Astyanax mexicanus: one gene and its partners. The protein of the gene in region 1 binds, or shares a complex with, the protein of each later gene. Links are inferred from orthologs where the notes say so. Each region holds a gene or a part of one and is shown in the gene's direction. Other genes may lie near its edges. The genes, in order: ran, exportin-5, ipo13b and sirt2.

Region 1 (7,207 bases):
AAACTATAAATAAATAATCCAAAGGTCACCCTTCCCTATGCCTAGCAAAGATGAAGATGACGACCTCCAATATTAGGCTGTAGAGCAGTGGAACTGTGTTCTCAGGAGTAATGGAGCTTTGTCCAGTACCATTGGAGTGGAGATCATACAGTTGTGGTCAAAAGTTTACATACACTTGTAAAAAAACATAATGTTATGGCTGTCTTGAGTTTTCAATAAGTTCTACAACTCTTATTTTTCTGTGATAGAGTGATCGGAACACATACATGTTTGTCACAAAAAACAGTCATAAAATTTGGTTCTTTCATAAATTTATTATGGGTCTGCTGAAAATGTCACCAAATCTGCTGGGTCAAAAATATACATACAGCAACATTAGTATTTGGTTACATGTCCCTTGGCCATTTTCACGGCAACTAGGCGCTTTTGGTAGCCATCCACAAGCTCCTGGCAAGCTTCAGGTCGAATGTTTGACCACTCTTCTTGACAGAATTGGTGCAGTTCAGCTAAATGTGATGGTTTTCTTGCATGAACCCGTTTCTTTAGCACTGTCCACATGTTCTCAATGGGGTTTAAGTCAGGACTTTGGGAAGGCCATTCTAAAACCTTAATTCTAGCCTGGTTTAGCCATTCCTTTACCACTTTTGATGTGTGTTTTGGGTCATTGTCTTGTTGGAACACCCAACTGCGCCCAAGACCCAACCTTCTGGCTGATGGTTTTAAGTTTTCCTGCAGAATTTGGAGGTAATCCTCCTTCTTCATTATCCCATTTACTTTCTGCAAAGAACCAGTTCCACTGGCAGCAAAACATCCCCAGAGCATAATACTACCACCACCATGCTTGACAGTAGGCATGGTGTTCCTGGGATTAAAGGCCTCACCTTTTCTCCTCCAAACATATTGCTGGGTGTTGTGGCCAAACAGCTCAATTTTTGTTTCGTCTGACCAGAGAACTTTCCTCCAGAAGGTTTTATCTTTGTCCATGTGATCAGCAGCAAACTTCAGCCGAGTCTTAAGGTGCCTTTTCTGGAGCAAGGGCTTCTTTCTTGCACGGCAGCCTCTCAGTCCATGGCGATGTAAAACACGCTTGACTGTGGAGACTGACACCTGTGTTCCATCAGCTTCCAAATCCTTTCAGACCTGCTTCTTGGTGATTCTTGGTTGACTCTTGACCATCCTGACCAATCTCCTCTCGGCAGCATGTGATAGCTTGCGTTTTCTTCCTGATCGTGGCAGTGACACAACTGTTCCATGCACTTTATACTTGCGTATAATTGTCTGCACAGTTGCTCTTGGGACCTGTAGCTGCTTTGAAATGGCTCCAAGTGACTTCCCTGACTTGTTCAAGTCAATAATTCGCTTTTTCAGATCCACACTGAGTTCCTTTGACTTTCCCATTGTAGCTTTTGTAGCTGAGTCTAATCACTGGGTCAAATGAGCCCTATTTAAATGGGCTCATGAGAAGTCAACAGCTGTAGTCAATCAGAATCACTTACAAGAAGTGAAGAGGCCATGACATGAAGCTAATTTGATTGACACAACTCGCTACATCACCAAAATTGACAAATTTTGTTGCTGTATGTATATTTTTGACCCAGCAGATTTGGGGACATTTTCAGCAGACCCATAATAAATTTATGAAAGAACCAAATTTTATGACTGTTTTTTGTGACAAACATGTATGTGTTCCGATCACTCTATCACAGAAAAATAAGAGTTGTAGAACTTATTGAAAACTCAAGACAGCCATAACATTATGTTTTTTTACAAGTGTATGTAAACTTTTGACCACAACTGTATGTGCCAGAACATAATTTAAATGGGATGTTTGACACCAGCCACACATGAGCCTAAGGTCAATATACCCAATGCCAAACAACAGCTAGAAGGCTAATATTGCTGAAACATTACTTAACCATTTAACAATGTTTCTTACTGTAGTGAGTAATTTTTGTGTGACCTGTGTTGGATTTAGTGCATCAGGCATTTTAGATCACCTTCACTGACACCAGTTCAGTGGCCAAGAAGGACTGAATATATTATGAAGTAGAGATTTTATAAAAGCATTTGTAAGTGTTTATATGTGTGTAGGACTGGGCATGACTATGAGTTACCTGTTCCGAGAGCCAGCCACCATTAACTACCCCTTTGAGAAAGGACCCTTGTCCCCTCGATTCCGTGGAGAACACGCGCTGCGCAGGTACCCAAACGGAGAGGAGCGCTGTATCGCGTGCAAACTGTGTGAGGCCATCTGCCCAGCACAGGTATACCACACACACACACACACACACACACACACACACACACACACACACACATACACACAGCATTATTACAGTGCAGTATTACACATACACATACAACTACAGTATATGAGATGGAGTGAGGCCTAAGAGTGGGTGCAAATGGATGGGACATTCCCTTTCTGAAGTTGTGTGGGCATTTAACATTTCTTAATTGCACAGTCATGTGTGCACTGAGAATACATCATAGAGGGCATTAACACCCACAGCGGACTGTGCAATAGCTGGTAATGATTGTGACCGGCAGCATCTGGCAAACAGACAAGTGACTCTGGCAGAAATCACATCATATTCAATGCACAAGTGCTGCGTTTTTTGATACCTTGGGATATGGCAAAAATTATGGCATGTTAGTGTTTATGTGTGCAAAATGTAATGTAAATAAATTGGTAAGAAATAAAAACACAGATAAGAGTTGGGACCTAAACAGTAAAGTGTGTGTTTGTGTGTGTTGCAGGCTATCACAATAGAAGCAGAGACCCGTGCTGATGGCAGCAGAAGAACCACTCGCTATGATATTGACATGACAAAATGCATCTACTGTGGATTCTGCCAGGAGGCATGCCCTGTAGATGCAATTGTGGAGGTGCGCGCATGCACACACACACACACACACACACACACACACACACACACACACACACACACACACACACACACACACACACACACAGAGATGCTCCATTTTCACTTTTACTGTTTTCTTCACCTCGCTTCTCTCTTTCCCCCTTTCTCTCAGGGTCCTAATTTTGAGTTCTCCACTGAGACACATGAGGAGCTGCTTTATAATAAGGAAAAGCTGCTGAATAATGGAGATCGCTGGGAGGCTGAGATCGCTGCCAACATCCAGGCTGACTACCTGTACAGATAAACAGCCCTGAACAGGAAGCAATACATGCAAACCATCAGAATTAAGAAAATACATCTGTTGTCTGCTCTTTATTACAGCCATAATTGCAGTGTATACTAAGAAGCACTCAGTGCACCCAGTGTAGGAGAATTCATTGTATGGTTCAAACTTCCAAGGTAATGAACTGAAACATCACTAATCGCATTCTCAGGAACTTAATAATCACGCACAAATGTACACAAGTACACAATGAATGAAGTGTAATTATTGTATTTTATAATAGATTTACTTTCAGAAATAAAACTTTAAAAAATATTTTGTGTGCCTGTGTGTGTTTTTTGAGTGAAAGGCATAGATAATGTGGACATTTTTATCAGTAGCATTCATATTACTAATAAAACTAGAGAAAGAATTGGTAATTAGTAATGTATATCGTTATTGTAAGTTATTGTAGTACCCGAACAGTTCTTTCTCATGTCCTTAATGTTAGTTTTAGTCTGTAGTTTTAGTCTGTTAGTCTGAAGTGTCTGTAAGTATAGTATTTTGATGCCATCTCAGCTGATCCAGCAGTTTGTGATTTTATGGTTTTATATGTGTTGCTAGGATTAACTTGCAGTAAATAATGTACATATTGTTTGTATTGTATTCTTATAGCTTGTACTCTGTTCGTGCAGTGTAAAATGGATATTTAAATAATAATAAGAATGGGGTGTACATAAATTACTGTATACTTTTTTTTAGAATGTTCTACAAAACTGTATCTAAATAACCGAATATAAATACATTCAAAAAGCTATATAATAGTTTATGTTAAATGTGGAGTGGTTCCAAACGAATAATTATGCAATGTGCAAGGGGAACGCCTCCCTCAGATTTAATGGGCGCTCATGCAACAACCTTAAAAGATGTAATACAACCTAAGAAACAACGTTCATGCAATGTTCTTTGGTCTAAAGGCAAGACAAACCCCACCCTGCACTCTGTACCTGCTCCATGGGAAAGTTTAGGGTTGCTGCTGTTGCAGAAAGCGGCCAGGCGGGGGCGCGTTACTGCGCGCGGGTTTGCCTGGTCACGTGCTTGGGGCGGAAGCGTTAATGCGGCCGCGCTGAGAGTCGCGCGCTCGGTGCCATTTGCTCTTTTCTCACTGCGCGGCAGAGCGGAGCACGAGCGTCCAGGTAGGAACTGCGCGCGCTGGGAACCAGAATCAGCCCTTAGCGCTCACACACACCCCGCGTTTACACCGCAACACATCGCTCAGCCTCCCGCGCCCCGCTGCGGCACCGATTCAGCGGATCCGCGGGTTAGATCAGGCCTTTAGAGCGGCGGGCTCGGCTCGGTTTAACGCGGTAGCATCGTGTGGCTAGGCAGGTTAGCGCTTAATGCTAGCGCGGATGCGATTACGTTATTGCGTTCCCTGATTTTATTATAAATCCGTAATTTTGGGTGTTAGTCCTGTGCTGTAGGGTATATGTAAGGTGGAGGACTGGATTGGAGGGGTCTGGTCTTTCTGAGATCCGGCGCTCTTTTTTGTTTTGTTGTCCGGTAGCTCTAAAGGAGGACAGTCCTCATCCAGCGAGTAGAAGTCCATCCCAGGATTTTAATCCGACCGCCTGTATCGCTGTACTGCAGCTCATCGGCTCAGCTTGCGTTAACTAGATATAAGCCACGCTAGTTACCTTGATATATTGTTCTGTGCGTTCTAGATAGCTTTTAAATCATTTTCACTTGTTTACATTTGCGTGTGTATTTTTCACTTGTGACTAATGTACTCAATATGTCATCCATGTAGTATTTTATTGCCTCAAACCTTTTTTTGGCCATAATCGATTATCATATGGCTTCATGTAAACTAACCAAAACCTTATTTGTGATCAATCATTTTAGGAGAACTTTAAACTTAACACCTAATTTGTGGGCTCAGTATGTTAACCTAACTACCGTAGCTAAGCTATGTTTTGGCCTTTGAAACAAATTTTTGTTCCCTGTAAGATTTTAATACACCGTTTAAAAGAAGTCCCTGCAATTCAGCTAACTTAATGTGTGGCCTATATATTTTTGTTGAATTAAATAAATTTGCTTTTGTGGTCTTCTGCAGACTAAATGTGGCCACTATATTACCTAATGACCTCCTTTTAAATTTTACTGTTGTGGCTACAACTCAATTTGACCAATAGCTTGTCATATAGCTATTGCATATAGTATTTCCTGTTCACTACAAACTTACTTATTGACTACTAGCTAGTAACGTGGCTAATTTGAGGCCCCAGTAGCTAGCTAACAGTGTTACATTTGAGCTCTCAAAATATATTTCGTGGCAGCTAAAACATTTTTATATTTAGTTGCCTGTAAATAGTTTTATAGAAAGTACCCGGGTGTTTTGAAACAAAATATCCTTGGGTGGATTTTTACTTTCTGGACTTGGATTACCCATCAGTATTGGTAGCGAACAGTTAGCCGGTTAGCATTAGCCAGCGGAAAGAGAGCAGGCTAGCGTTGGCTAAGCTAACTGGATGGATTTGCTTCTGGTGAGAACTAGAAAAGCGCGGCAGCTGTGCGACATGACGCTCAACCAACCAGCAGAACCGGCTCTGAGAGCTCCCATCCGGACTGAACTCGAACCCGGTGGTCGGAACCGGTTCAGACTCGCTTATAGCAGAGCTACCATTCATATTAGCCATAGATGTAATATGTGAGGCGTAGTGAACGCGGCCCCAGCGTGCTGTACGTGTAGCTAAGCTAGCTCATTAGCATTTACTGCGCTCTTGCTTGGCGCCTTTATCAGACGTTCTGGTGGTTGGTTGATTGATGCCGGGCTGCTCAGGCCGCTCAGGCCCGTCCCGCAGCTTCACTGGGTTTGCCCGACACCGCGTGTGGGGAGGGGGATTGTTCTCCGGCCTTTTGTCTGCCTGTATTAACCCTCCCGCCATCTCTCCCGCAGAGTCGCGCTGCGTCAGAGACCCACACACACACATCCAACAATGGCAGAAAACGACCCACAGGTTCAGTTTAAGGTGAGTATTTCATCTAATAAACTACACTGGTGACCTTTTAGGAAACATTGTTTAAAAAAAAAACCTCAACTCTACTGAACAAACTTATGAAGTCAGCTTAAAGGGCCATGCCCCCATTTTTATTAACTTATAAAAGTTGAGAGGCGAATAGCCATAGCCATATTATTTGTTCTGAAGCAAGAAATGAGCTTATGATGTCTGAATTAAATATCTAACGTTTATCACAGTAAGTTACTGACAGATAAATTGTCTCTGGTTGTCTAAAAAGACCCTCCTGTATACATTCATACCATCATAAATGGCAAAGCTTGTCTTAATATTGCTTGTTAGCCAGAGCACTCAGAGCAATTATTGCAGTACAGTATAGCAGTGTGTCTTTTAAGACACATTTTAATATTTTTGTAGTTGTTAACTGTTTTTCCAACCCACAGCTGGTTCTTGTAGGAGATGGAGGTACGGGAAAGACCACCTTCGTAAAGAGGCATTTGACAGGAGAGTTTGAAAAGAAATATGTTGGTAAGTTTGGCTTTGGACTTGTAAAAAATTGTATACAGGCCTGTTTTAGAACTTTACTATATTCCAGCGAATGTGCTCAAACTCAGAAGTGCTCATTTGAGCACTGTGGCCTGAGTGTGACTCAATCGCCCCATTACACATAGAGGGAGGTTTGTGCTGGGGAGCTTTAAGTATGTCAGGCTTTGCAGGGTAGGTAAACATTGTGCAGTCAGTTAAAACAGTAAATCAAGTTTTAAGCATGTCTTTTAATTAAAAAAATCTTTTGTGTAAATACTTCTGTGTATATAATTAAGTATTGTTTTCATTACCCTGCGGGTCTGTGCACTTATTTACATCTGTTTGTAATGACACCTTTTTTTTTTTTTTTTATCTGCTTTTTCCATTCAGCCACTTTGGGGGTTGAAGTACACCCTTTGGTCTTCCACACTAACAGAGGGGCAATCAAATACAATGTATGGGACACAGCTGGACAGGAGAAGTTTGGTGGTCTCAGAGATGGCTACTACATTCAAGGTATATCTCTTGCT
Region 2 (7,010 bases), on another chromosome or scaffold:
ACAATTCCTTTTAAACTGTAAATGCTCGGCTACTTTATATAAGGATCACCATAAATTAAACTGCAGCAAATTCATAAGAGCCAACTGAATCGAACTTCTTTGTTTCGGATCATCTCTGTCTTTACTCTTAAATAAATATAATTTCTTATTATAACAGTACATTAAATACATTCTTAGAATATATTGTAAACTTGTATATTCTACTGGCAAAATATTTTATAATGATGTTTTAACATATATCGATATATAAAATCCAGCAGCATGATTATCAGTACTCTTCACACCTTTGACATTTGCTTAATAAAGTGTGGGAACAAGATGATAATAAGTGGCCACGACTTAAACTGGTAAGAAAAGAGCTGGTGTGATCTTTATCTTTATGTGAGACTTATTTTGTGTAAAGAAATTCACGAACATGTTCTGTATAGAACTGTATAGTTCCTATTAATAATAATAAGCATGTTTGATATTTTTATAAAAACAAACGACAGCCCACCAATATTTGAATATTAAAACATATAAAAAATATTTTAATTCAAACGTTTCTAGTTTTTGGCCAAAAAAACTTAAAACACTCAATTCTTACAATGTTTTAATAATTAAAAGTAAAACAACAGTTGATGTACTTTGTCCTGCGCACTGAATCAGACATGTGATTCACCGAAACTGAATCGGTTCGTGAAAAGTGAATCAAACTTTCCATCAGCAGGACCAGCCCGTTCCTGAGTGACGTGGAGCGGGAGGGGGAGCTCGAGCTGGAATTTCAGCTCCACCCCGCGAGCCACACACACACACACACTATACACACACACACACTATACACACACACACACACTATACACACTACACATACACACACACACTATACACACACACACACACACTATACACACACACACACACTGTACACACTACACGTACACACACACAGATACACACAGTTCTTCGTAACTGATGAACTCTGAGAACTGTATCAGATTAAGTCTGTATTTGTGTTTCTGGGTATTTTAGTTTAGTAAATATTTAGTATATAACAGCTCTGTCTCAAATCGCATTTATTAATTTATTATAGTTAGAAGAAACTGTTTAACACAGACTGAGAGAGTATATCTGAGTAAATAAATATATTTAATCTCAGTTCATTTAATCTAAGTTAAGAAGTGAATTTAATTTGAGAAAATTAGTAAATCTATGAGACTATATTTAATTAAGCTGTATACTGAGTCGACTTAAATACATTTATTTACAATAAGTAAAATAGTCTGAGTCTGATAGATTGTTTGTAAATAAATGAGCATCTCATTACATTTGTAATTAAATATTGAGTAAAAATAGTAGAATTAGTATGCTATGCGAGTAAATGTACGTACAATAGTACAAATTAATTATTTTAAATGGAGTACATTAATAAATTAGTACTTTTTAATAATAAATAATGAGTAATTTTAATAACATTACCGTGTTTACTCAAATTACATTAATCTACTCCCGTAGATCACTGTATTTACTTAAATTTCATTAATCAACTCTACGTGATTTTAAGGCACTATAAACTCCCATAATGCATCAGGATGTATAGGGTTAAATGGCAATAATTAAAAAGCAATATCCTCTCTTGGTCTCGTTATTTCCGCTACAACTGAACAATCTCGCCGCTTTTAGACTCTTTGTCTCGTCATTTCCGCTACAACTGAACAATCTCGCCGCTTTTAGACTCTTTGTCTCGTCATTTCCGCTACAACTGAACAATCTCGCCGCTTTAGACTCTTTGTCTAGTTATTTCCGCTACAACTGAACAATCTCGCCGCTTTAGGCTCTTTGTCTCGTCATTTCCGCTACAACTGAACAATCTCGCCGCTTTAGACTCTTTGTCTAGTTATTTCCGCTACAACTGAACAATCTCGCCGCTTTAGACTCTTTGTCTAGTTATTTCCGCTACAACTGAACAATCTCGCCGCTTTAGACTCTTTGTCTAGTTATTTCCGCTACAACTGAACAATCTCCCCGCTTTAGACTCTTTGTCTAGTTATTTCCGCTACAACTGAACAATCTCGCCGCTTTAGACTCTTGGTCTCGTTATTTCCGCTCCAACTGAACAATCTCGTCACTTTAGACTCTTTGTCTAGTTATTTCCGCTACAACTGAACAATCTCCCCGCTTTAGACTCTTTGTCTAGTTATTTCCGCTACAACTGAACAATCTCGCCGCTTTAGACTCTTTGTCTCGTCATTTCCGCTACAACTGAACAATCTCGCCGCTTTAGACTCTTGGTCTCGTTATTTCCGCTACAACTGAACAATCTCGTCGCTTTAGACTCTTTGTCTAGTTATTTCCGCTACAACTGAACAATCTCGCCGCTTTATGCTCTTTGTCTCGTCATTTCCGCTACAACTGAACAATCTCGCCGCTTTAGACTCTTGGTCTCGTTATTTCCGCTACAACTGAACACTCTCGCCGCTTTAGACTCTTGATCCCGTTTTCTGCGCTACAACGGCGCATTCTCGCAGCTTTAGACTATTTAGCTTTTAGACTCTCCTTAACACAGTGTCCCTATGTAGGTCACACTCCTGAGGGAGTGTCTAAATTCACTCCTGTTTTTACCGCTACTTAGTGAACTAAACAGTGTCTCACTATATAGTGCACACTAATGAGGGCGTGTCCGAATTCACTCCTGTTTTTACCGCTACTTAGCGAACTAAACAGTGTCTCTCTATATAGTGCACACTAATGAGGGAGTGTCTAAATTCACTCCTGTTTTTACTGCTACTTAGTGAACTAAACAGTGTCTCACTATATAGTGCACACTAATGAGGGAGTGTCCGAATTCACTCCTGTTTTTACCGCTACTTAGCGAACTAAACAGTGTCTCTCTATATAGTGCACACTAATGAGGGAGTGTCCGAATTCACTCCTGTTTTTACCGCTATTTAGTGAACTAAACAGTATCTCTCTATATAGTGCACACTAATGAGGGAGTGTCCGAATTCACTCCTGTTTTTATCTCTACTTAGTGAACTAAACAGTGTCTCTATCATTGACAGTATATATTAACTGGACCAAGCCATCCCGCTGATTTCAACGGAGCCAGGTGAGGCCAATCGTGTCACTTCCTGATCGGCGTCTCGTGGGGCGTTAACCGGGAAAGTGAGAGATTGCGCAGGCGCCAGCATGACGCGAATCTTCCGCGTGCCGTGCAAACAACCGTACTGTTTATAGGAGCTGCACAGAACTATTAACTCCACAGTGAGAAAAGCTCAATTCCGTCCTAGAATGGGGCTTTTATTAAATGAACAGCAGATAAAAACTAGAATTACTGATATCCAATATTAGTCCACGGATTTACTGAAGAATATTCATAGTTTGTCTATATAACAAGCATTTAGAAACTCAGTAATAAGAATAATAAATGTGTAATATAAATTACAGTTATATCTATACATTATAATTCTCATAGTCTATCTTATTTCTATTTACTACTATCTTACTATCTACAATGTATTATAACTGATAGTAGTAGTATTATATTTGCATAATAAGAGGTTACTTTGACCCTGCTCTAATTCAATCAGCTCTGTACTTTTAAATTAAGAGGAGCAACTTCTCCAAACATTACAGCACGGTATTTTGGGTCGCTGTCTTTTTACGTCATCGTTAGCATAGTTGTATAAAAATTTTATTTTCTAAAGCCATGAACAGATTATTAATCTTATGGATCAAATTGCAGAAAATCCGTTCTTTGTAGAAAAGAACACGGGTCGTGTCATAATCGAAAACGGCTTGGAAATACATTTATTATTGGTTCAAAGACACCCCGAAATGAATGGAAGTGAATGGATAGCTTTGCTCTAATGGTCCTCTCATTCCTCAGCAGCACACTTCCGGTGGCACGTTTTGGAAGGGAAAAGCTGGGGGCCTGGTCTCTATATATAGTGCACACTAATGAGGGAGTGCCCGAATTCACTCCCGTTTTTATCTCTACTTAGTGAACTAAACAGTGTCTCTCTATATAGTGCACACTAATAAGGGAGTAGGGAGCCTTTTCGGTTAGAGATGTGTTCACACGTGATTGCTTTGCGCATGCGTATTGGGGCTGGAGCAGAGGACGGCACTTGTGTAGTAGCGTGCTGTGCTGCATAGTAGTGGTGGTGTATCTGGATCTGGTTGTGTGTTGTGCTGGTTCTCCTGCTTTCTCCGGTGGTTCCCCGGGTGTTCTCTCCGCGTCCGCGCGCTCTTCTCTCCGCTCAGTATGGATGATCCGGTTAAATCGATGTGTGAACAGCTTATTAAGGCTGTGAACGTGATGATGGACCCGGACTCCTCGCACCAGTATCGCCAGGAGGCCCTGAAGGTACCCGGTGAACTCGGTGCTGTGCCGAGATTTGCTGCTTTGCCAAATCCTGCTACCGTTGTATTTATTTTATTGCTTAAGCTTCAAAAAAAAAAGTCTGGATAACTAGAATTAACATGCTTAAATGTATGTGTAAGATATGTGAACAATTTTTATCAATATAAATATGAGTTAACTGAATGTAATGTAAGTGAAGTGATTAGTGTTTTTTAGCCGCTTATTTTTGTTATTTTATTAATAATTATTACTTTCATTCACACGTGTCCAACAACTTCCTAAAGCTCAGACTTAGGTTTAATTCAGACATATATATAGTAATTAACCAGAAATATTAAGAAAAACACGTTTAAAACACGTTAAAAGATGTTGAAAAAAACGAACCAGCGCATGCGCAGAGACGTAGGGAGCACATATCGACGGGTAGCACAACTCAGCGTGACGCACTCCAGCTAGCTCACTGTGCTAATCTTTATTAATGGAAATTGAGAGTTTTGCTGATTTAAAACTCATTTATTTCAGTTTATCTAGGTTATCTATGTGTGATTTTAATATTATTTATTATATATATTTTAGTTGGTTATGTGCTTAGCTTGTTAGCTTGCTAAGTTCTGATGATGTTCTGCAGCTAGCTGGTTAGCAATCCTTACAGTGCACAGGTTCTGCAGTTTATCTGGTTCTGGTCCAGTGTGTGGTTCTGTTATAATGTTATATAAACACCTGTTTATAAGATTATGATTAGTATTATTATTAAATATTATCTGTGTGTGTAGCTGTGTGTTTAATGGGATGCTATAGCTGTGGGTTAGACACCTGCAGTGTTTAGCATCTTCAGCTGCACGTGTGTGTGTGTGTGTGTGTGTGTTATGATTTTTATTTTAAAAGCTAATTGAAATACATTTCGTGTAAAGTAATAAATTAAATAATGCATTGATTTGTGTAGGGAATCTGAACTAATATATTTAATTTTGAGAACAAATCTGAGTTGAGTAAACATCAAATTGGTGAACTAAATTTGAGAAAATTCTCAAAATGTTCATAGCAAATTTGAGTAAATTAATAAGATTGTAAAATCAAGATTTAGCTGCTGATGCTGCACATAAAACTCTTTGTGCGAATAACGCAAAAGTGTTTATATACTTTACCCAGTAATTCAGAGCTAAGAAACAAATGTTTTAGAATTAAATGTTTTTAGAATTAGTCTATGGAGATAAAACACCACCAGCCAAGTACAATTGAGATAGGTAGGTGTTTAGATGTTTAGAACAGTTCTGTTTACACTCGTTAAAAGCAAAAATTCACCCCGGTGTGGATTTTTACTTTCTAGACCTGGACTACCCACCTCTGTGTGTAACTATAGGGTTTAAATAGGATCTCCGGTGGATTTGGTGTTTTACAGAGACTCTAAGACTAGATCAGGGGGTGAACTGCACTTAGCAGGGTATTATTACACATGTTGTAAAAATGTCTGTTTTAAAACATTTCTGTTATTCGTCTTGCTGCCTTCTGTTGCAGTGCTGTTAGCCAATCAGAGGTGATATATTTGCATGTATGAATAATTATGAGCAAGAGCCGAAATCTTATTGCCTATATCACCTAGTTGTCCAGTTGCTGCACCTGGAGACAGGTGCGTATAGAACAGGTGTGGTGAACGAGAAGGCGGAGCTTATTAAAGATGCATGATCACTGTAATGCTAACAGGCTAACGGCTCATTGTCTCTCTTTTTGTTCTCAGTTCTGTGAGGATTTTAAGGAGAAGTGTCCGTTCTGTGTGCCGTGTGCTCTTCAGCTGGCTGATAAATCCCAGACGCCGGTGGTGAGACACTTCGGTCTGCAGACGCTGGAACACGTGATAAAGTGAGTTCTCCCTCCAGCTCCCCCCGAACCCCTGCAGATACTGTAGATCCTCCTCCTCAGAGCTCTGATTGTTTATTTAAAGTTTTATTTATATTAGCTCTTACACAGCGTCTGTCTGCTTCACACAGGTTCCAGTGGAACAACATGCCTCAACAGGACAAGGTCCATCTGAAGAACTGCTCCATGGAGCTGCTGTCATGCGTGAGTAGAGGAGGAGGATGGTTTGATCTGCTCAGAGAAGCTGATTTGTAGAGATTTCTCACTGATTTTTGTGTTTTTTGTGTTGATTTCAGGGAACCTACCCCATCCTGGAGGAGGAGAGTCATATTAAAGACGCTCTCTCGCGGATCGTGGGGGAGATGATAAAGAGGGAGTGGCCTCAGCAGTGGCCTGATATGCTGACGGAGATGGAAACGCTCACTTCATACGGGGTATGTGGTGGGACTTTTTGTCACCTTAGCGCTGGACGATATGGCCAAAATTTATATTGTAATATATTCCTTAATTTCGGTCGATATGTTATAATTTTGATATCAATATAAATACTTTGAAGGCCTTAGAAAAACTGCTAACAATCCCTGCAATAGAAATCTACCTACTACTGTCTGAAAATTTAATTTAAGTCTTTAAAGCCCCTCTCTCAAAACCTATATAATATATATATCATCGCTGTCCTATGAAAAACACTCCATTTTTGTCTATTTTTAGTTTACTACATAATTTGAACAGACAAACTGTCCCTCACGCTGCGCCAAAATTTCTTTTTGGGCTCCTCTAAAGATTTTCAATAGGGTTTAGATCTGGAGAC
Region 3 (7,603 bases), on another chromosome or scaffold:
TATGAGAAAAAGAAAGGAGACCAAGAGAAAGAAAGGAGGAGAAAAGGGAGAAAGAGAAATAAAAACAATAAAGATGTAAATAAATGAACAGTAAATTAACAGCAAAAGACAGAGAAAGAGAAAAAAAAAGACAGAAGGGGTAAATAAAGGAAAGAAAGACACACAATGAAGGAGAGAGAGAGAGAGAGAGAGAAAGAAAGAGAGAGAGAGAGAAAGATAGCAAATTTTAGTTTTAAAGAAGAAAGGAGAAAAATAGAAAAGGGGTTATAAAAAAACTGAGATAAGAAAATGATATAAACTATATAAATACAGAAGAACTGAAAATTGAGGATAATACGTAAGAAATAGGAAAATGAAAGAGCGAGAGAAATGTAGAACCTTAAAGGAGAACTCCGGTGTAAAATTGACTTTTAGTGTAGTAACACATAGTAAAAAGTACTAACCTTTGTTAAACAGCACACCTCCAGTAATTTCGTGCTTTTTGCCCAGCACTCTTTACAACGGTCGTATCAGGGCATATTTTGCCCAGATAAATCGCTTTTTACATAGTTATCCAGGCTCAAAGTAGCTCCACACCTCATTGGTAGAATCCGGAGAGCCTTGACCTTTAATTTGAGGCATGTTTTTTAACAAAGAAAATGACTGTATATCAGAAAGCTGCGGGAAAGCGGTGATGTGCTATTCAACAAAGGTAAGTCATTTTTAATATGTTATACTACACCCAAAGTCAATTTTACATCGATGTTCTCCTTTAACGTGTGAAAATCGTTTTAAAATTAGTTTTAATTATTTTAAATCTCTTAAAAGTCTATTTGGCATAAAGTCAGTCGCACTATAAAAAAACTAAATATTTCACTCCAGTGGAATAAAACTAGAGAAATGTGGTGAACTCTTACCTCTGGCGAGAGAGCAGCAGCAGCAGCAGAGCACCAGAACGGACAGAGCAGCAGCGCTCACTGGACCCTTCATCTTTCTCTCTCTCTCGCTCTGTTTATTCCTTCTTTTGGTGAAATAAGAATTAAAACAGCTGAACTAAATCAGTCTGGAGTGACCCGGACTCTGCGCGCGCTATGTGTCTGAGCTGTGAACTGAGTGAACTTCAGTCTGTGAGGTTTGTTGAGTTGTTGAGAGCGCTCCGCTCCTCTGACTGAACCTAGTGTTCTCTGCCTCTCTCTCTCTCACTCTTTTTCTGTCTGTCTCTCTCTCTCTCTCTCTCTCTGAGCTCATGTGCCACGTGTTTCACCCTTCAGTCCTACGGCGCTCAGCTGTTCAAAACAAAAATCGAGCTGTCTCCATCGCAGAGGATCTCACCCGCGGGCACGGTAACTCACAGCGGCCTCGGTTCAGTCATACGGAGCGGAGAACATCTCAGACCTCCCAGCAGAGCTCCCCTCTCTCCTCTCACCTCACCCAGTATCCCACTGTACAGCACCGGAGCTCCGGGGGCGAGCCAAGAGCGGACTGAAGCAGGACACGCCCTCAGACCCCCCTCCCCCCCCCCCCCCCCCCACACACACAGCAACGTCAGGCTCTGTTTTGTGTTATTTGGTTGTTATAACATATACTAGTGCATCTCAAAACATTAGAACATCATTAAAAAAGTTACTTTATTTCTGTAATTCAGTTTAAAATGTGAAACTCAAATATTATACAGATGTATAGAGTGATCTATTTTAAGCGTTTATTTCTTTTATTGTTTATGATTATAACTCAAAAACAGTTTCTCAGAAAATGTTCTTATTATATAAGATCAATTGATACGTTTGGCAGTGTGGGCAGTGTGCCAAGTCCTGCTGGAAAATGAAACCTGCATCTCCATAAAAGTTGTCAGCAGAGGGAAACATAGTGCTGTAAGATTTTTCAGGAAAACACTGCACTGACTTTAGACTTGATAGAACACAGTTATCACACAGACCAACATCAGCAGATGACATGACTCTCCAAACCATCACTGACTGTGAAAACTTCACATAAGACCTCAAGCAGCTTGGACTGTGTGTCTCTCCACTTTTCCTCCAGACTCTGTTCACATGATTTACAAATGAAATGGTAAATTTACTGATGGTCAGTGATGGTTGAGAGCCATGTCATCTGCTGGTGTTGGTCCACTGTGTTAGGACCAACATCAGTGCAGTGTTTTCCTGGAAAATCTCTGACAACGTTTATGGAGATGAGGATTTCATTTTCTAGCAGCAGTTCTTGAGATGCACTATGGGATGTGTATGGGTCATTGTCAGAATACTGTGCCTTGAACATGAATAAAAAAAATCATGACTTGAATGTTTTTAAGACTACACATATTTTCCCAGCTTAATCACTACAGGACAGGGGTGGACAAATTTAGATTAACTTATCATCTGATGTAAACCTGGTTGATCTACATTTGCAAACATTTTAAATTGTTCATGGTACACTTGTTCTGTGTAAAATATACATTTTGATTTCCTAAAATTATTTTAGGAATAGAGAGACAATATAAGAAACATTAAGTGAAATTAATATTATTAATGGCTGGTTTGCTTAGCAAGTGTCTTCATGTAGTCCCATCAGAATCAAACAGTATGAAGTATGTGATAACACTGATTTCAAAGGTTACTTGCACACCGCAGCCTCAGCTTTCTGTTCTTGGCTAACAAAAATAGGAGCTGTAGTGGTGTTTTGTAATGATGTTCTGTTGTCATCCGTCTCTGTGTTCAAAGTGTTGTGCATTCAGAGATGTTTTTTTAAGATCAGTGAGACCATGATGCTGAACCAGCATGACCAGCATGAACAAGCATGACCCAAAACAAATGCAACATTATGCTGCAACATATGTGAAGCACATAGTACCAGCATAAAGTAGGTTTTTGAATGCATAGCCAACTTGTCAACCACTTTGACCATCAAAGATGCAGCCCATCCAAAACAGTTGTGTGCAGAAGCTGGTCTTAAGATGGATTTTCGAGAAAGCTTGTTGCCTTTCTATCAGCTCACCCAGTCTGCCTATTTCTCTGACCTTGTTGACCTCTGTCATCAATAATTCAATGTTTATTTAATGTCATTTGCTAATGTAATAGGCTAAAGGTTTTTAGTACTTGTTGATCAGTCCTGCACACCACCTAGGAGGAATTTAGCCCATTCCTCTGTAAAGAAAAGTTTCAACTCTGAGATGTTGGTGGGTTTTCTCACATGAATTTCTCGCTTCAAGTTTTTCCACAACATTTTGGTTGAATTAAAATACTTTATTTTCTGGAACCATTCTTTAGTAGATCGGCTCTTAGTGCTTAGGGTCTAGTGCTTAGGATTTATTATTCCATCAATGAAGGCAGGCCATCCTGGCCCACATGCAGCAAAAACGAGCCCAAACCATAATACACTTACCACCATGTTTTACAGGAGGGATGCGATTTTTATGCTGGAATGCAGTGTTTTCCTTTCTCCAAACATAATGCATTTAACTTAAATCAGAAAGTTATGTTTTGGTCTCATCTGTCCAAAAAAAAATTCTTCCAAAAAGTTGTTTAGTGTTCTTCTTATAGTAGTCCATTTACATTCACACCCGATTGTCCTCCCATTGATTGGGAGCACCTAATTTCATGTTTAAACTAACCGCTTATCCTAAAGGTTCACATACTTTTGCTAATTATAAAAATGTTATATTTGATCTGTTTCCTTAATAAATTAATGAGCAAGTACAGGGGTTGGACAATAAAACTGAAACACCTGGTTTTATACCACAATTATTTATTGTCCCAACTGACAGTTCTGGTGGAAACAGGACAGTTGACGTGCACATTGAACTCTTCCGTGATTTAGGCAGCCGTGGTTTTATGTTTTTTGGATACAATCTGGGTTAGCACCCGAACATCCCTTTCAAACAGCTTCCTCTTGCGTCCACAGTTAATCCTGTTGGATGTGGCCCGTCCTTCTTGGTGGTTTGCTGACATTATGCTGGACACCGTGGCTCTTTATACATCACAAAGACTCGTTGTCTTGGTCACAGATGCACCAGCAAGATGTGCACCAACAATTTATCCACTTTTGAACTTACTGTTGCAATTTGCCATTAATGAAGATTGGCCACCAGGCTGCTCCAATTTAGCCATGGAACTTCCCACACTAAAATTGACATATAATAATTATTATTTTTTTCATTTGTTTAACTTCCGCTTTATCTACTTTTAGTACATTTGTGAAAATCTGATGATGTCCTGAGGGGTTCACAGACTTTCAAGCACCACTGTATGTACACTTGGATGCTCAGCACAGACTTGTAATTTTTCACCAGAAACACACGGGGACGCCATTACACTGCACGTCAGAAACCGAGAACCCGTCTTTGAAATGCGACGTTCTACAAAAAAACTACACTTCCCAGAATGCAGCGCGAAGGCCCCTTTTTAAAAAAATGTACACTGCCTACATCAAATTAAAAGATAATTTAAAATGTATGAGCACATTAATGTATTGATATATGTATGTAAAAGATTAAAATATTATTTAATATAACATGAATTATATGTTATAGAAATGAAACAAGAATAGCAGTAGTAGTCGTTGTATCGTTGTATTGTTAGTGCACACATATTAAATTAAGGAGCCCTTTGTTTCTGTGTTGGGTTAGTTAACGCTCACTAATGGAGTGTGGAGATTTTTTTAGGAGTAGTGTTAATAATGTGTGTTTAAGCTGTGCTGTGTGTTTGACGGGTTTGACAGGGTGAAGTCGGTCAGGCGGTGTTCAGAGTGAGCAGAGAGAGAGGGAGAGAGCGGGCGGGGAAGCAAAGAGAGACACAGAGAGACTGAGAGCTAGTCCGGAGCGTCTCGCCGGTTAGAGGACAGATACAGACACGGGCAGGGTTTTACACCTAGTTAACTACTCTACAGAAAACTATACTGTCTTATAATGTGAATAGTAGACGCCGGACTCACACAGAGCCGCGGTGTAGACGGGGTTTAGGGAATAAATCATGGTTGTTTCTTAGCTAAGCAGCGCTAGCGCTAGTGGAGGCTCCGGTGTAGCTAGGTTATGTTAGCTCAGCTCGCTCTCTCTCTGGGCTTGTTTTAGGGTGAACAGAGAGGAGCGGCGGTTTAAACTCAAGTTAAATCAGAGCTGTGAACAGTGGTGAAATTATCTCGGACGCCGGTCCCCTTCGCCCCGTGTGCCCGGCCGCTGACGGACAGTCAGACCGGCAGAGAGCATGGACACGCAGGGGAGGATAGCAGCCAGCCCGGCGGACACAGCGGACTTCACCGTGGAGAACGTGGAGAAGGTAGGTTAGCGGTTAGCCGACTAACCGCCTCTAACAGACCGTGTTCTCCTGTGTGAAGCTTAAAACACACACACAAGTTAGCTCAGCTAGATAACATAGCTCTGGTTTTCCAGCATATACAGTTCTGGAAAAAATAAGAGACCACTTAAAAATTGAGCTTCTGTGATTTTACCTAATTGAAAGCTTCTGCAATATAATCAAGAGGAAGATGGATGATCACAAACCATCAAACCAAGCTGATCTGCTTGAATTTATGCACTAGGAGTGGCATAAAGTTATCCAAAAGCAGTGTGTAAGACTGGAGGAGGAGAACATGCCAAGTGCATGAAAACTGTGATCAAAAATGAGGGTTATTCCACCAAATATTGATTTCTGAACTCTTAAAACTTTATGAATATGAACTTGTTTTCTTTGCATCATTTAAGGTCTGAAAGCTCTGCATCTTTTTTTGTTATTTTAGACATTTCTCATTTTCTGCAAATAAATGCTCTAAATGACAATATTTATATTTTGGATTTGAGATAAATGTTGTCAGTAGTTTATAGAATAAAACTTCAATGTTCATTTTACTCAAACAATTACCTATAAATAGCAAAATCAGAGAAACTGATTCAGAAACTGAAGTGGGCTCTTATTTTTTCCAGAGCTGTATAACTAGGTAGACACGAATCAGACGAGTTTACTCAGTTATTAAATCTCAAACCTGAATTTGAGTATAGTAGCTAACTAGTTAGTTAGCTTAGCTAGCTATCTGTTATTACTAGGAGAAGTTCAATATGCTTAAACCCCCTTGTTACAGTGAACTACTACATTATAAACCATTTATTATTTCCAGCTAAGAACAATAACAGCAGCCAACTCAAGCTGGTCCAGCCGGTTGACCAGTTTAGCTCTAGGTTATAGGTTGTGTTTTCATTGGAGTGTTATAACTATTAAAGCTGATTAGCTTGTCTACCAGCCTGGTACCAACCAGATTGGTTGTCCAGTTCTGTCAGGACCGTTCGTGGACCAACGTGTTCAGATGAGCAGAGTAGTAATACTGCTCATATAGTTTATAGATAGATTAGTCATGTTGTGTAAACGGTGTGTAAAAGGGTGGATGTTATGGCAAAAACATTTTTGATGTTTGATTTCAATGATGCATTATTATAGGAATATTTGAGGTTGTAACAGTAATATTCACAAAGGAAGCCAAAGTGTTGGTCAGCTAGTTGACTTAGTATTTCTTTGTGTATCGACATGCTTTGCTAACCTGTATGAGGGTTATGAGTGCCAGATGTGGTTGCTGTGTTCTAACTACAGTCAGTTGATGAGATCAAGAGAAAGCTAGATTTATGGCAGCTATGGAGACTGAGAAAGAACAGAAACATTATTAAGACTTGGTCATTGGAGACTGTGCAGTAAGGTCCGCAGTTTAGACAATTTTTTAATTTGCCCTGTACGATCTAAAGTTTACACCTTAAGTTACATCATAGAGCTGACTAACATATTTATTTTCTAAATTAAATTCCTGTATATTACATAGCTGAGAACTCAGTTTCAGTTTTCTCATGCAGCCAGTGTTGCTTGACTGAGTCACCAACCATTAATTTTATGCCACCATCTGGGCTAGGCAGAAGCAAATGTATCTGATTAATATCTAGTCATTAATCGTTGATTAATATCTGCTGGTGCTATTAAAAGATTTTAATTCCAGTCAGGTAGTTTTCTATGCCATTGTATATACATGGTTCAACCACACTAGTAATACCGTGTTTCAGAACCAGATGCTGTTGTCAGAGTGTCCAGAACATAATGTACCATGACAGGAGAGAAGCTTTCCTTACACAGTACACTGTGCTCTCCATGTGCCACTGTCTGTTAAAACACATAATTTACTGGACTCTTACTGTTAAGTGCAGTCCATATTTAAGTGCTTTGTTTTGTCTTGTATTACAATGCACTGAAACACCCACATTCAAAGACATGATTGACAGAATTTTTAATCTATGGTTACTTGTCACAGTATGACAGCCAGGGATGAGCTGTAGCTCAGTCGCTCTAATTATGCAGACATGTGTCTGAGTTTTTTTGTAAATAGCAGATTATAATTTGTGATTTTATTTTGCTCACAGGCTGTGTGTGGTTTAGACCTCCTCACTTGTGAACTGTCTTGAGAAAGTTTGGCATGATTGAATAGTATTTCAAATTCTCAGACTCTGAGAGAATTTAAGAGAGGTAGAGTGGAAAACATTGGCTCTTAAACATTTTAGATCATATACCACCCACAACCAAACAAAAGAGTCAAAGGACCACCTTAAAAGTCATCCACAGGATCATATATGAGCAAACTAGGGGTGAAAGAAATAGGAAAA
Region 4 (7,223 bases), on another chromosome or scaffold:
ATAATTTACTCTAAACTAATTTAGAGCTTTACTTCCAAAGTGGGAGAGGGCCAACAAAAGGATGTAAAGTGATACTAAACAATGAGAGCAGCGTGCAACTAACTCATGACTGGGTATAAAAAGAGCATTTTAGAAAGGCAGAATCTCGCAGAAGCAATTGTAGAAAGGTTTTCCCCTACACATTGGCACGTTGCAACAAGACAAGCAAACCAATCAGTTGCCTAGGGCCACCGGACCATGACTAAGAATGAATTAAATGCAACTGAAAACCCACTTAAATTGTGACTGCCAATACAGGCAAGTAAAACACTGTTATTGGAATTGTGCTATGAGCCCCCAAATGCCCTGCCCTTCTGTAGGTGTTAAAAGTATTGTGGCCTAAACTCTATTGGAGTGCATTGAAACTTTTACATTTTCTTTTAACCAAAAATTCAAATTTTCCTTTAGGTCTATTCTGTTACAATTGAACAGTACTTAATAGTATATTTTCACACCAGCTGCAAGAATGCACATGGCCCTTTTTTTCTGCACTGCCAAAAATCCATTGGCAAAAACTAGACATATATATGCAAATTAAGACATATGTATATTAATCAAAAAATATCTGCCAGTGGGGTAAGCAAAATATTCTTTGTAAGATTTCTTACAAAAAGCAATGGCAAAGTATCAGAATGAGTGAAATGACACCTAAGCTCAAGCCAAAAAAAAAACAAAAAAACACACTATTGCTGCTTGATTGTGCTTATTTTGAGTTCAAATTACTTAAAGTACAAATTCTAAAATGATTAAAGATAATTATCCCTAAGATAAGCAAAATAATCTAACACTTACAATGCTTAGTAAGACCAAAAGTTTTATCAGAGAAGAAATAAGATTTATTGCCTTAAATTTAGAAAATTTCACTTGCTAAGATTTAGTTTTTGCAGTGTGTTGCGCTCCAGGACTGCCAATCAATTCATTTCAGTAAATTAAAGCATTTTCCCAGCAGGTGTTTGCTATTGTTTGTGACTAAACCACTGTTTTGAGGAATTGCTACTTTAAAACATTAGCCATGTTGAGCAAACCATTTCTAGCTGGTCATTAGTACTGCTATGATAAGTTAACAAGCACTTCTCTTTTGAAGTAACTTAATTTTACTACTACACCATTTCTGTATCATTTTAAAGTTTAGGAATCATTAACTTGCTAAATTAACTGTCCTTCATTACCTTTGTGTACCTCTTAGCATTTGTAGAAAAAAAGGGCCTAATGTTCAATTAGCTCAATTTAGTTTCACACCAGATTTCTCAAACAAAACAATCCTTACTAAAACATTTAAATTTACAGGAAAGAAAGTTATACAAGACACAGAACACTTACAAAACAGTTTATTACTTGCTTTCATAAATCACTCTAAACCACAAAACAGGAATTGAGCAACAAAACCAAACAGACCACAAGACAACAGACGAACAGCTTCAGGTATCTTCATGCAGTTCACTGCAATCACGAGCAAGAGTATGGGGACTGGAACAGCTGCAGCACAGACAGCATTAGAAGATTCACCTGAAAAGGAGAAAGTTGATCTATTTAGTAGGATTTTACTACTTAATGTCAAACAAATAAGTTAAAAAAACAAATAAAAAAAAACATCAAAGTAACATTAAGGATTATATTTTCTGTAGTAATACAACATGATCAGGATTAATAATCATATTAAGGAAACATGCTGAGTTAAAGCACTGGCAGCTCTTATCAGCAGAGTCAAGACAATGTCAATGTCTGCATTTTTTAATTTTCCTTTTATTTTTTGAATGCTAGGCTAAACCAGGTGCTAACGTACCTCTATTAAGCTCAATTAATTGCTAGCTTGATCAGTCACCTCAATATATTAATGTATTCTCTTTACACTCAAAGGTTTCTTAGTCTGAAAAAGAATCATCATCCATACTTACCCAGATTTCAACTTCAGGAGCAGCAAACAAGTCATGATATTACCAGCTGGCTTTTATAGTCTCAGGATAAGTTGGAGCATGCCCAGTGTGGGCCACATGGATTGGCCCATGTTATAGGGGGATGCAAAGTAAATTATTGTTATATTTTTCTTTTTTTTTCTTGATGTATCATTGTTTTTTGTGTCTCTGTTATGTTTATATGTACATTGTGACATCTTGTAGTTAATGAATGTGTATTTATTCAAGATGTACATATGACTGTAATGCTGTTATAAATTATTGGTTCGATTGGTTCGTTCCTGTTCATTTGAACCAGCATAGACAAATAGAGGTCTTTTTTTAATATTAATTGAATAATATTTGGTTTATTTTTATTTTTCCACGCTTTCCAACTAAACAGGCATTGCATAAATTGGGCTTTTAAAAGGCAAAATCATATTAGGTGAATAATAAATTGTCTGGAAAAAGATTCAATCCTTAATTTTCACACTAGAGGGACATTTGGGGGCCAATAAATGACCAAACAACAACCTTTTACATTTCACCATTTGGCTGCAGCATTTACACAACATACAGCACATTTACACTTTTATATTTATAAAAAAAAAGACAGAATCATAGAGAACTTGCAACTATTAAAAGTATAAGTATTTACTTATTGGAAATTTCAGATGAAGCCAGATAGAGGTAAGTACTGTTTCCTACACATTCAAAAAACTCTTGGAAACTGGAGAAAACTGGTACAGAAAGAGTCATGTCTGGCTGATCCACATGGCAATGCCCTTAGCTCAGTTTAAAGGGGCACTAAACTGGGTGATGTATGGGTTTAGAGGCAGTGTTTGGGCCATACAGCACCTGTATCACCATAGGACACACTTGTTTCTGCACGAACCACACTAATCTAATTTATTACCGCACACTTGTAAATAAAATTGTTCATTGAGACATAAAAATGAGTTTTATGTGACTTTGCCTTTTCTCTGAATTGAATTGCAAAAAAAGATTGCACAAAAATAAGAGTGACTGTTTTGTTACTGTGTGCAACATATATGCATGTGTCAGATCTAATTGTGGAAGAGAAGTAAATCCTATAATCCTTATTATAGAGTGTGGGTGTGTGAGAGCTGGATTCTGCATTGAGGAGACCATGCGGTGGGAGATGAGGGAAGCATGAGAGAGGTACAGTGATTTGCAGGCCAGTATTTCATTTTTCATGCTGTTGATATCCTAACTTATTCACTTTATATGTAGTTAAACTGTTAGTGGCTTTATAAGATGTAGCAGTGGTGTAACAATAATAAACAACTAATTCCTCCATCCCATTATTCCAAATGCCTACAGTAACATTTAAAACTTTTTAAGATTAATAAAGGAGGTGTTTTTTAATACTCCAATGGTTTAATTTGATAGTAAATGGGTCTGCATACTGTCTATGTCTAAGCCTGTGAGCTTTTAGTATGAGAATCAAGTGTATTTTACTAAAAAGTATGCCATGTCTCACTGCAAGAGACTCAAAAAATCACCATAATTCATTTTAAGGTGGAAAATAAAAAGAAACCAATTCACTCTGCATTTTCTGGATATCTTTGGATTGGAGCTTTGATGTAATATATTCAGTCTTCTTCATGGGCATTAATTTACAGAAATGCAAGCTTTTTTATTTTCTGCTGGCTACAACTTAACTATTTCTTTCCCATGCCTTAATAAGTCGTGGCTATGCCTTAGGATCTCATTCCCACTCCTTAATAAGCCGTGATGTCACCTTCATCCGTAAGATAATTTTTTGGTGCCAAATTTTTTTCACTTTTTACTTCCCAACTTTTTACTTCTCTTTTAATTTAATTGATCTTATTAATTATAATTATCTTATTACCACACATTAGGATCTCATTCCCACTCCTAAATAAGCTGTGGTCACAGATTTTTTTTAAACATGATGTCATTTGTATGATCATTTTTTGGTGCCGAATATTTTAAATTTTTGGAGCGGGAATTATTATGGACACAATATGAAATAATAATTAATTATTTTATTAGTATTATTATTTAAAATAAGCCACCCCCTTGAAGGAAACTGTATCAAATGTACAAAAAGTATTGCAAACTGAAGATTAATAAGTCTCTAAATCTGTAATAATGTGTTTATTCAGAGCTAATATTTAAAATGTATTGATATACAGTGTTTGTAGGAAATATTGTTAAGCTTTATAACCATCTATAGATCCTGCTCATGTTGTCTGTGGTGTTTGAGTGCGGTCAGTTCTTGTGTGGAACATTAGCATAGCTCTGCTCCAGTTTTCACCCGGGCGGAGAATCTCGATGCACAATAACAAATCCCTTTAAACCAGCAGAAGTGAGAAAGAGTTTAAACGATTTAATAAAGAGTGTAGGTTAAAGCTGAGGCGGTTAGTTAGGTTAGCGAAGACGGATAAATGTCTGAGTCTGGAGGTAATGCCTTATATAACCTGATAACTAGGTTTAATAGTTGTTTTGTTGACGTGTTTTTTGTTTTGTTTTAAAAAGCGTTATTAGCCAGTTAGCCCTGCTCCTGTAATGCAGGTCACAGTTAGCTGAGCTATTCTGATTATTAGCCTGATAAGCAGCAGCGAGGACAGATTTTCTGCTAATACTGTATATTTTCTCTTATAGACCAAACTAAAAGAGAAGAAGAGGAGCCTGACACACCAGATTTTGAGGTAATAAACGTAGCTCATGACCACCTAGCTCAGCTAGGAAGGTAGCCAGTCCATTCGGTCTCCTTTCCTGGATTAATTCTCTTTTGTAAATGTCGATGACATTATCTCTCTCTCTCTCTCTTTATATATACAACTCTGTAAAAAAAAATCAGACCATTTCAGTTTCTGAATCTCTCTGATTTTGCTATTTATAGGTATATGTTGGAGTAAAATAAACATTGTTGTTTTATTCTATAAACTGCAGACAACATTTTTCCAAAATTTCAATTAAATATGTTGTCATTTAGAGCATTTATTTGCAGAAAATTAGAAATGGATGAAATAACAAAAAATATGCAGAACTTTCAGACCTCAGTTAATCAAAGTTTTCATGCATCTTGGCATGTTCTCCTCCACCAGTCTTACACACTGCGTTTGATAACTTTATGCCACTCCTGGTGCAAAAATTCAAGCAGTTCAGCTTGGTTTAAAGCCTTACACCGTGGTTGGTGTGGTGCAGTAGATACCACCACCACCTGATTATGAGCTAAGTTACCACTTCATGTGGGAGACTGGGGTTCAATTGCCGGTCTGGGTGAGTATGCTGTGATACACTAACAGGAGTCCAAATGTTGTAAATGTATAGTTGTAGAGGAACACATGGAATTATTTTATTTTTCTTATAAGTGGCTTCATTTAGCTTTGAGGACACATCTGCACACTCTTGGTATCTTAACCTCAGTGTCTTCATGAGGGACAGTCACCTGGAATAGTTTTCTCAGCATCTTGAAGGACTTCTTTGAGATGCTAAACAATAGATGCTGCTTTTCCTTCACACTGTGAAGCTCCAGCTCATCCCAAATCACCATAGGTTTAATAAGATTTTTTAATTAGGTTTAGGTCAAGGGGTTGTGGAGGGCAAAAGCTTTTTTGTATACTACATAATTCAATATATGTCCTTTAATTGCTTTCATGTCTTTAATATTATTCTACAGTGTATAATGTACACTATTTCCTGACACAACTGTCTAGTCACTGTACAGTATACTGGTGAAGCTATTGAACGTATATTTGATTTCCATTCTAATGAATGGGTTTCCAATTACCCTTGTAGTTAGTATATCAACAGTCCCCAGGTATTTATGCTGTATCCCTATTGATTAGTTACTGGCTAGTTGATCGATCTGTTTTCGTCAATTCTTTAATCTAGGCTGAGTCTGACGATAGCAGTGACGAAGGAGAAGCCTCTGGAGACAGTGAAAGTAGGTGTCTGTCTTGCAAATCTTGTGGATAGTAATTTACAATCTTCGTTCTACAGCTTTTGAATTAAACTTGTGTTTTCTTCCCTTGTTTTAGTGGATTTTCTCCGCAATCTCTTCTCTCGAACTCTTGGCCTGAGTCCTGAAGAAAAAGTCCTTGATGACTTGAGCCTTGAGGGAGTGGCTCGATATATCCAGAGTGGAAAATGTAAGTATTAGACTTGAGTTTTTTGCTTGTCTTTACAATTTATGCTTTCTGACTTCTATTACATGAAAATGATTGCTAATTTGTAATAAATATATGCAAAGCAATGCAGACTGGTGGACACAGGCTTTTGGACTTGTTGCTGATAACAGTCATCTATTTCTTTCACAAATAAAAATAGAATACTGGAATACTAATTTGTCTGACCACAGTACACGTTTTCACTGTGTACCAGAAGCCTCAGAGTTGATGCCACTTGGTTAATTTAAAGCTTATATTTTGCACAGCAATGTTTTAAATGGCATTTATGAATGTAACTTTGTAATTATATTAGCTATTTCATTCAGTTTTTTTATTGGTTGAAAAGATATAATAAGATATAATAAATTGATTAGATGTGAAGCAACAGATGGACTCCAATCTGTGAAGATAAACCTCAGTTAAGAAACAAGTTATTGCATTGCAGTGTGTATATAATAATAATAATAATAATAATAATAATAATAATTTTTATATTTTTAATATACTAGTTTAATCAAACATTCAAATCCTCTTTGTGTTAATTTGCCTTTAGGTAAGAACATTATCTGTATGGTGGGTGCAGGAATTTCGACGTGTGAGTACACTAATATCATGTCTCTATATTGTTATATTAATAGACAGCTGAAACAGCTGATTACCAAACGTGCAAACAACCAAACTTGCTTCTAACTACTTAGTTAATAATACGTATTCACAGCTTTAACATTAGCTACCTCTCTCACATGCAGCTGCTGGCATCCCTGACTTCCGCTCCCCTGGAACCGGCCTCTATGCCAACCTGCAGAAGTACAACCTGCCATATCCTGAGGCTATCTTTCAGATTGACTATTTCAAGGTCTGCCTTTAATAGTGAAGCCAAATGTAATGTGCTTAAATTAACTGGGTTTGAACTGACTTAAGTTTCTTGTTTTACCCTCCTCTCTCCACTAGAAACACCCGGAGCCTTTCTTTGCTTTGGCCCGGGAGCTGTACCCAGGACAGTTCAAGGTATGATTAAATGGGAAACACCATGGGGGGCAGATTTGAATAAAGAATGTATGCATATCCTGACATGCTAAAAGTTATGGGATGGTACAATGTAAAATGATCATAAAGTGGTACCTCAAGA

What was found.
Region 2: ran (region 1) and exportin-5 share a complex: the UniProt entries of both Homo sapiens proteins name them as parts of the nuclear export receptor complex. The link is inferred for Astyanax mexicanus from reciprocal best matches to the Homo sapiens genes RAN and XPO5.
Region 3: the proteins of ran (region 1) and ipo13b are in contact, whole or in part, in a crystal structure (PDB 3ZJY), measured with the Homo sapiens proteins. The link is inferred for Astyanax mexicanus from reciprocal best matches to the Homo sapiens genes RAN and IPO13. Residues at the interface, in NP_006316.1 of Homo sapiens: Lys37, Lys38, Tyr39, Leu43, Gly44, Val45, Val47, Pro49, Trp64, Gly74, Leu75, Arg76, Asp77, Gly78, Tyr79, Ile81, Gln82, Asn103, Arg106, Asp107, Arg110, Val111, Tyr147, Trp163, Arg166; in NP_055467.3 of Homo sapiens: Leu33, Tyr34, Tyr35, Ile39, Lys42, Gln46, Leu49, Met50, Gln53, Glu73, Tyr76, Phe77, Ser80, His83, Ile84, Ile118, Thr121, Arg122, Val125, Val172, Glu175, Glu176, Thr179, Ser414, Asp415, Arg784, Asp785, Pro787, Asp788, Pro829.
Region 4: the proteins of ran (region 1) and sirt2 are in contact, whole or in part, in a crystal structure (PDB 5FYQ), measured with the Homo sapiens proteins. The link is inferred for Astyanax mexicanus from reciprocal best matches to the Homo sapiens genes RAN and SIRT2. Residues at the interface, in NP_006316.1 of Homo sapiens: Phe35, Glu36, Lys37, Lys38, Tyr39, Val40; in NP_036369.2 of Homo sapiens: Phe96, Arg97, Glu116, Phe119, Gln167, Ile169, His187, Ile232, Val233, Phe234, Phe235, Gly236, Glu237, Ser238, Leu239, Phe244, Gln265, Val266, Gln267, Pro268.

The regions. Positions count from the first base shown.
Region 1 is NC_064417.1:22,958,012-22,965,218, reverse strand, and holds the start of ran (GTP-binding nuclear protein Ran), read left to right. Parts: upstream 1-4,204; 5' UTR 4,205-4,328; intron 4,329-6,091; 5' UTR 6,092-6,131; coding exon 6,132-6,164; intron 6,165-6,595; coding exon 6,596-6,680; intron 6,681-7,067; coding exon 7,068-7,193; intron 7,194-7,207. Other genes in the region: ndufs8b (NADH:ubiquinone oxidoreductase core subunit S8b), read left to right, coding at 2,092-2,264, 2,761-2,889, 3,043-3,174. UniProt on the Homo sapiens protein: GTPase involved in nucleocytoplasmic transport, participating both to the import and the export from the nucleus of proteins and RNAs. Switches between a cytoplasmic GDP- and a nuclear GTP-bound state by nucleotide exchange and GTP hydrolysis.
Region 2 is NC_064432.1:27,056,988-27,063,997, forward strand, and holds the start of exportin-5, read left to right. Parts: upstream 1-3,990; 5' UTR 3,991-4,246; coding exon 4,247-4,348; intron 4,349-6,080; coding exon 6,081-6,202; intron 6,203-6,330; coding exon 6,331-6,403; intron 6,404-6,495; coding exon 6,496-6,633; intron 6,634-7,010. UniProt on the Homo sapiens protein: Mediates the nuclear export of proteins bearing a double-stranded RNA binding domain (dsRBD) and double-stranded RNAs (cargos). XPO5 in the nucleus binds cooperatively to the RNA and to the GTPase Ran in its active GTP-bound form.
Region 3 is NC_064408.1:63,507,955-63,515,557, forward strand, and holds the start of ipo13b (importin-13), read left to right. Parts: upstream 1-4,595; 5' UTR 4,596-5,177; coding exon 5,178-5,249; intron 5,250-7,603. Other genes in the region: uncharacterized protein LOC103033886, read right to left, coding at 897-969. UniProt on the Homo sapiens protein: Functions in nuclear protein import as nuclear transport receptor. Serves as receptor for nuclear localization signals (NLS) in cargo substrates.
Region 4 is NC_064411.1:44,563,977-44,571,199, reverse strand, and holds the start of sirt2 (NAD-dependent protein deacetylase sirtuin-2), read left to right. Parts: upstream 1-4,211; 5' UTR 4,212-4,366; coding exon 4,367-4,382; intron 4,383-4,583; coding exon 4,584-4,630; intron 4,631-5,819; coding exon 5,820-5,871; intron 5,872-5,965; coding exon 5,966-6,076; intron 6,077-6,647; coding exon 6,648-6,689; intron 6,690-6,843; coding exon 6,844-6,950; intron 6,951-7,045; coding exon 7,046-7,102; intron 7,103-7,223. UniProt on the Homo sapiens protein: NAD-dependent protein deacetylase, which deacetylates internal lysines on histone and alpha-tubulin as well as many other proteins such as key transcription factors.